2 linked regions of the Caenorhabditis elegans genome follow. The protein of the gene in region 1 purifies or fractionates together with the protein of each later gene. This does not show direct contact. Each region holds a gene or a part of one and is shown on either strand. Other genes may lie near its edges. The genes, in order: nfu-1 and glrx-5.

Region 1 (3,610 bases):
TGTAATAGTAACACTTGTCATTTGGAGGATAATTGTATGGATACAATGGTGAATTAATGGTTCCATTGTAATAGAAATCATTGTTAACTGGGCATCCAATAAAGTCGTCGTTTGATACGATCACTTTGTCATGATTCTGATAAATTTATATTCTACAGTATTCTAAATTTATAATTTACAGACACAATTACTCAGACGCGAACTTTAGCGACAGTACCCGGTCTCGTCACGATAAAATTTTGATAAATGCAAAAGTTGTTGTCTCATGTTTTTCTGAAGATTTTTGTATTTTGATTTCAAAATGTAGTTTGTTTAATAAATAAAAAAACATATTTTTCTCGAAAAACTATGAAGAATTGACCGCAGCAAATAAAGTTTGGATATACAGTTCACTTTAAAGGCGCGTACCTTCCGCATTTATTAAAATGATGTCGTTCAGAAACCGAACCAGCCGCAAAAATAGCAAAATTCCGCGTCTGGATAACATTGAAAATTCAAAAACTTGAAAAAAAAACTAACATGAATCAAGCTTTTCTTCTTATACGCAGATACTCCTAAATTTAAAATAATAGCGACGAGAAGAATTTGTTTCAACATTTTGAGCAGCACTCTGACTGATTTCTTATCAATTTACGAAGCACAATTTTCCACTTTTCCGGGTGATAAGTCTTTTAACTGATATCACTGATTTGGACTGGGCCGTTGAACTTTGACGTGATTCGATGATTTCAGAGTCATAAACCAATTCTACTAATACGACTTTCAAAGTAATAAAAAAGTTTTTATAAATATTCATTGAACATTTATCTCTAGCAGCAAACACTAATAAAAACAAATCTAGTTATACACGAATCAATTATCAATTAGTCTTTGATTCCTTTTGATTGCTCAAATTTCTTCAACTCTTGTTCCACAAGATCATCGGATTCATCCTTAACTTCGATAACTTCCTTCACTTCAGGCACGTAGAATGTGAGCATATTCTCAATTCCATTTTTTAAAGTGACTCCAGAGCTTGGACATCCTGTGCATGAACCTTGCATCTTCAATTTGACAACACCATCGTCAAAACCAACATAAGTGATATCTCCACCATCTTCTTGTACCATTGGTCTGATACGTGTCTCTAGAATTTCTTTGATCATCATTACAACTTCATCATCTTCTTCCACTTGGTCGGAAACAGTTGCAGCTTCATTTATGACAGGTTTTCCGGTTTGAATGTGATCAGCAATTGTTGAGAAGATTTCCGGACGGAGGAGAGCCCAGTCAACAGTCTCATCTGATTTCGTGACAGTTACAAAATCTTCTCCGAAGAACACACGCTTCACTCCGTCGACTCGAAGAAGTTTTCTGAAAATTTACAAATAAATACTATTTTATCTGAATGGTAGTTAAAATTTGGAATATTCCTTACATAGCAAGTGGACTTTGTTTTGCTGTAGCCGCTGAGCTGAAATCGTATGTTTTCGAGGCGTCTGGGAGAAGCTGTTGACCTGAAATACTACATTTCAGATTTTAAACAGTGAAGTTTCCACTAACCAGGTAAAAATTTTAAAGAAAGTGGATTAGGTGTCTCCTGAACTTGAATATACATTGATCGAGCTGAAATTTTAAAAAATGAAAGAATTTCTGGAACCAGTATCACCTGCTTGTACAAAGCTCCGGTTCAGTCTTGTGAGCATTTTTGATGAAATCATTTTTCTGAAAATTTTTGTTCTTTCAACATCTACCGACTTAATTCTCAAGATATAGGAATCAAAACCTCGAGTTGTACATTTCAATAGCCTAACCTGTATACTTTCAAGAATCACGATTCATGGATCAACATAAAGCGAAGAAAGTCATAATTAATTAGCAATGAAATAAATGCCCAGGTTTCATATGAAACAACGAGTAAAACATCAAAAGTGAAAAATAAGACACACTTTTCAATAAAGGGAAGAAAAAGTTGGGACCATTTGACATCCGTCTCAAATACATATGTGTTGTGTTGGAAGACTTGAAAAATAACCGAAAAAAAAGAAGTAGTATGTCGGGGGAGATATAAAAAGAACAAAAAATGGGTAAACGGGAATAATTTGGACAGAAGAGTACAATTTCCACAAGGCTGAGCTCGCAAGAAAACACTTGCTAGGGATGGGAAAGATCGAACATTTGAGAGTTGAAAGAAAAAATGGACCAAAAAAGGCTAGATTTAAAATGAAGAAAAAGTGTTACAAAACCCGGAACGAGGAGACGAAATAAAGAAAAATGGATGCAATTCAACCGGGAAGACATATTGTTTCACGGTTGAATAAAAAACAAGTAAACACCGAATTATTATGAGGGGAGGGGGGACTAATTGACAAGAAGACGATTTTGTGAGCGATATCTACCAGTTGGAAGACCATTTATTTGACGAGGATGACTGATGATTTTGTTGGCCAGATGCAGACTGCTGTTGCTGTCCAAGTCGGTTCCAATCCATTCTGTAATAAATAAACAAATATTTAATTAGAAATCGTAGAACTTACGCTTGAGGCATCTGACCGTAAGGCTGTTGCTGTGAACTCTGTCCGTATTGCTGATACATTTGCTGCATAGAAGTTCGAGATGGGTTCGTCGTGGAAGATGCATTTCCAAGAGAAGAGAATCCAGGTGGAGCTTGTGGAGCAACAAATGGTGGCGGTTGGGGCCGAGGTTGGATCATTCCGAGTCGCGATTGATTTGCAGAAGCGTTGCTGGGAGCTCCGAACGGCTGTGGCTGTTGAGAGTTATGCATGAACGATTGTTGTGCGAGTCCTTGTTTCTTCTGTTGTTGTTGTTGCTCGAGAATAGCAGCAATAACGCCATCAGAGTCATTCTAAATTTCCATTCATTAATTTTTAAACTGATCCTGCTATCTTAACATCAAATTTGTCCTAAACTTACATTAAATCCATCAAATTGCTTTATTCCTCTCTGTGACAATGACGGCATGCTAATTTGCCCTAAAACACTGGCATCCGTATACGAAGGTGATGGATAGTAGCTATTTGCAAGTTGACTACTTGTTGGACCAGGTGCTCCTGTAGAACTCTCTTGATGAGTCAATAATTGGGCGGCAAGCTGCAAATAAATCAAATAACGTATTTTCAGACATAAATCACGGATCCCTACATGGTTATACAGATTGGATCCCTGTCCATCTTGACCTAGCGACTGCATCTGATTGTAAAGTTGCTGCTGCTGTTGTTGTGATTGTAGCATTGAAAACTTTGAAGACATCAAGTCACTTGGTTGCTGAGAACTTTGAGACTGATGCTGTTGGTATTGTTGCTGGAATTGCTGAATCCTTTGCTGTTGTTGTTGTAGTGCTTGCTGCTGTTGAAGGTGTTGAATTTGCTGTTGTTGTTGCTGTTGAATATTCGTGGAAGTGCTATTAGCAACAGAATTCGATTGAGATCTTGCAAACAGGGGTGGTTGAGATCTATTCGGATCACGAGCAGACGGTGCAAATGAGGCTGGCATCCAACCTTTCAGTTCCAAAGAAGATAATCCAGTAGTAACAGAAGACGTAGATGGCTGCTGCACTGGTGCTGATGATATGGTTGAAGCACCTTGTGGACTCGAAGTAGCATTAGGAAGT
Region 2 (3,754 bases), on another chromosome or scaffold:
TACTACAAGCGCGCCCCAACGAACGAGTTAAATTGGCAGTAATTTAAATAGGAATTAGGGGAAAACTGAGATTTTTTCAATTTTCAAAACAAAAAAGCATATAAAATCTAGAAAATTTTTTTGAATTTTTTAAATCATAATATTCGGTCATCCCACTTAGCGTAGTCCACCTATAAATATTCCAAGCTTCTATATATAAATGTTCAGGTCATCATGGCAACCAATCGTATCGACATTCTCGACCCCGCACTTCTCCGTCCCGGCCGTATCGATCGTAAGATTGAGTTCCCGGCTCCAGATGAGAAGGCTCGTGCCGATATCCTCAAGATTCACTCGCGCAAGATGAACTTGATGCGAGGTATCAACATGGCCAAGATCGCCGAGCAAATTCCCGGAGCATCGGGAGCCGAAGTCAAGTCGGTGTGTACCGAGGCTGGCATGTTCGCGCTCCGTGAGCGACGTATTCATGTGACGCAGGAGGATTTCGAGATGGCTGTTGGAAAGGTTATGCAGAAGGATTCGGAGAAGAATATGTCCATCAAGAAGTTGTGGAAGTAAAAATAAAAATGCAAATTTCGACTTTTTTTATCGATTACCCCCCCCCCCCTTTCACTGATTTTATTGTAAAAAATGGACCCTATTTATTTATTGTCTTTGACCTCCCGTGCTCTCCTTCTTTTGCTGAATAATGCAATCTTTATTCGAAAAAAAAACGTCTAAATTTCTAACAGGATTATTCATTGCTTCCCATATTTATTCGAGATTCCCTTTTCGTCTAAAAAGTCGGAAATCTCTCCGTCTTTGTGCATTGAAATGAGAATATCACATCCGCCGACGAACTCTCCCTTCACATAGACTTGTGGAATTGTTGGCCATTCGCTGAAAATCTTGACACCTTCTCTTAGCTCCTGATCGGTCAGAACGTTGTAGTCTTGGAATTTTACATTGTGGAAGTCGAGAACCTGAAATGGGAAAATGTGATTTTTTGGGATTTTTTCTTTTTTTTTTTAAAGCGAAACTATTACGGTAGCACTAAATTCTGAGAATACGTATTGCACAACACATTTGACGCGCAACATATGAAATATCTCGCAGCGAAAACTACAGTAATCCTTTAAATGACTACTGTAGCGCTTGTGTCGATTTACGGGCTCTATCAAAGCTGGTAAATCGACACAAGTGCTACAGTAGTCTTATTTAAAGGATTACTGTGTAGTTTTCGCTACGAGATATTCCATATTTTGCGCGTCAAATGTGTTGCACAGTACGCATTCTCGGCATTTTGTGGTTTTGTAATATTTATCATCGAATTTTTGTCGACTTCAAGCTAGGAAAGCTCGAAATAATGAGATTTTTCAAAAAATTTTAAAACAGCGGCCTTTTAAGCTCGAATTTTACCAATTTTACCAAAAGAATCGAATAAAAATCAAATGCTGGCCGTTGTGATACGGAAAAACTGGTAAAATTTATTTTGATTTTTTTTCTGAATTTTGCAATTTTTTTCAAAAAATTTGAAGAAAATCGTTCTTTTGAGGCGATTTTAAGCCCAAGAATTACACTAAAAATGCTAACCAATTAGCGATTCGCTCGGCCCACTTTTGAACCAATCAGACGGTATGGGCGGAGCGCGAAGACGCTGATTGGTCGGAGAGTAGTCAAATTTGAAAAATTGCCTATTTTGCAATTTTTTTTTGTTGAATTTTCCACTTTTTTCCACAAAATCTCCATTTTCCCGTACCAATTTAACATTTCTCGAGAATCCACACGCTGGCTCCTGTTGTGTTCCCTTCATAAAAACGACAACATCATCTTTTTTCACGATTCCGTCGATTCGTTTGCGAACTTCATCGCTAAGTCCGCCACCACCGGCTGATGAAGCTGAAGCCGAGAAGTTGGCTGCTCGAACCATTGAGAACGCTTGACGTGATAGTACGCGCAACATGGCTGGTTTTTTTTGGCTGAAAATCGGGGTTTTAGAGGAAAATTTAGGAAAGCAATTACAAAAAACCACCAAAAAATCGCGAAAGATATTTTCAAATTTTGGCTAAAAAATTGATTATTTTTGTTGAAAAATTGGAAAAATAATTTTAAAAAATCTATAAATTTTCAGTAAAAACCGAAATAAAATCGGCCACATGATTTTTTTTCGGGCGTCATAGGGCACTATTTCGCAATCAATTGTTCAATTTTTTTAAATAGAAATTGATAATATTTAAAATTTCAAAATAAGCATTAGTTTTTAAACTCTTACAAATCGGAATAATAATAAAAAATTAAAATTAGAAATTTTTTCTTCGAAAGGAGAGCACTCGTGTGTTATAATAAATACCAGAAATTGAGGTGAGAACTTGAGCGGGAAAACAATAACCGAAATATTTTGAACCCGGAGGAGGTGAGAATTTACAAAAAATGATGATAAAATAATCAAATAATTAAATATGAATTCCTAGATAAAATGGATAGTAATTGAAATATTCACAAGAATGAATGAGATTTTTTTTCTTTGAGAAATTGAAAAATAAGATTTTCGAGTAAAAGTGCTAGAATGAGGGTAAAATTGGGGGTGGGTTTTTCGCAAAAAAAAAATCATAGAAAATATTGAGCAATCGGTTGCTTTTTCGGCTCTCCTCGATTCTCCACTGTTGCCGCTTCGAAAACTTCAAAAACGGGGTCGCTGTCGATATTTTCCTCGGTGACCTCCATGATTGCCGCCACGTTTCCGCATCTGAAAATTCGATGTTTATTCTAAATTGTAAATAGGAAGGCGCAGTTTCGGGTTTGCAAGCCTGCGGCGCGGTGTCGATTTACGGAGGATTTTGTACTACACGTGGACAAGTTTTGGTCTATTTTTGCGAATTATTTTCGTCTTTAACATTGAAAATGGTTAATCAGGGTTGATTCCGACTAATAAAATCGAAAAACGAGCTTTTTTCTGAAATTCTAAAAATTTTGGGTTTTTAATTTTCCGATATTTCGACTTTTTTTAAAAAGATTTTTCTAAAATTAGATTAAATTTTGAAAATTTTTCTTCTTTTTAGGTGGCTTTTTTTTTTGTTTTTTCTCATCAATTTGAACAAAATTAGAATTTAAAAAAAAAACGAATTTTATGGTTATTTTCTAACAAATTTTGTGTTTTCGGTGTTTCGATTTTACAGAAAATCGGCAAAAAACTTTTTTTTTCAATTTTTCGAATTTCCTTGAAAAACATCGAAAAATGACACCAAAAACCGGTCAGAAAATAAAAAATTTAAAAAAAAAGAAAATTTTCTGACCGTTTTTTTGGTGTCATTTTTCGATGTTTTTCAAGGAAAATCGAAAATTTGAAAAAAAAACATTTTTTGCCGCTTTTCTGTAAAATCGAAAAACCGAAAACACAAAATTTGTTAGAAAATTAACCTGTTTCACTTTTTTTCCTTAAAATTTTACTCGAAATCATGACAAAAGTACAATTTTGATAAAAAACATTTTTTTTTGCGTTTTCGGTTTCGAAAAAATCCTTTTTTGTCGGATTCAGACCATTCTGAACGCTTTTTTTTCACAAAAATAGTCAAAAAACAGTAAAAAATCGGGTTCTCAGTTGTCCACGTGTAGTACAAATCTGCAGGCTCTTATCTATCTGTTTCGACAGTAAAATTCAATTTTAATGCATTTTTTGGAGCAAAAATTCACAAAAATTCTACCGATAGCAGTAATTGGGCGCCGACCAAACTGTGACGACCCGCTTGCGAAAATGAAGTTTATATCCTTCCATAAC

Evidence for each region.
Region 2: the proteins of nfu-1 (region 1) and glrx-5 fractionate together in Caenorhabditis elegans (co-fractionation; one large-scale study listed by BioGRID). This does not show direct contact.

Annotation. Positions count from the first base shown.
Region 1 is NC_003282.8:10,385,507-10,389,116, reverse strand, and holds nfu-1 (NFU1 iron-sulfur cluster scaffold homolog, mitochondrial), read right to left. Parts: upstream 1,705-3,610; 5' UTR 1,701-1,704; coding exon 1,649-1,700; intron 1,606-1,648; coding exon 1,543-1,605; intron 1,497-1,542; coding exon 1,418-1,496; intron 1,354-1,417; coding exon 864-1,353; 3' UTR 766-863; downstream 1-765. Other genes in the region: R10H10.3 (CUB domain-containing protein), read right to left, coding at 1-136, 520-597; Ankyrin repeat and KH domain-containing protein mask-1, read right to left, coding at 2,375-2,471, 2,517-2,845, 2,914-3,090, 3,142-3,610.
Region 2 is NC_003281.10:12,371,900-12,375,653, forward strand, and holds glrx-5 (Glutaredoxin-related protein 5, mitochondrial), read right to left. Parts: upstream 1,959-3,754; 5' UTR 1,943-1,958; coding exon 1,739-1,942; intron 963-1,738; coding exon 738-962; 3' UTR 683-737; downstream 1-682. Other genes in the region: rpt-6 (26S proteasome regulatory subunit 8), read left to right, coding at 208-558; pph-4.2 (Serine/threonine-protein phosphatase 4 catalytic subunit 2), read right to left, coding at 2,587-2,725, 3,681-3,754.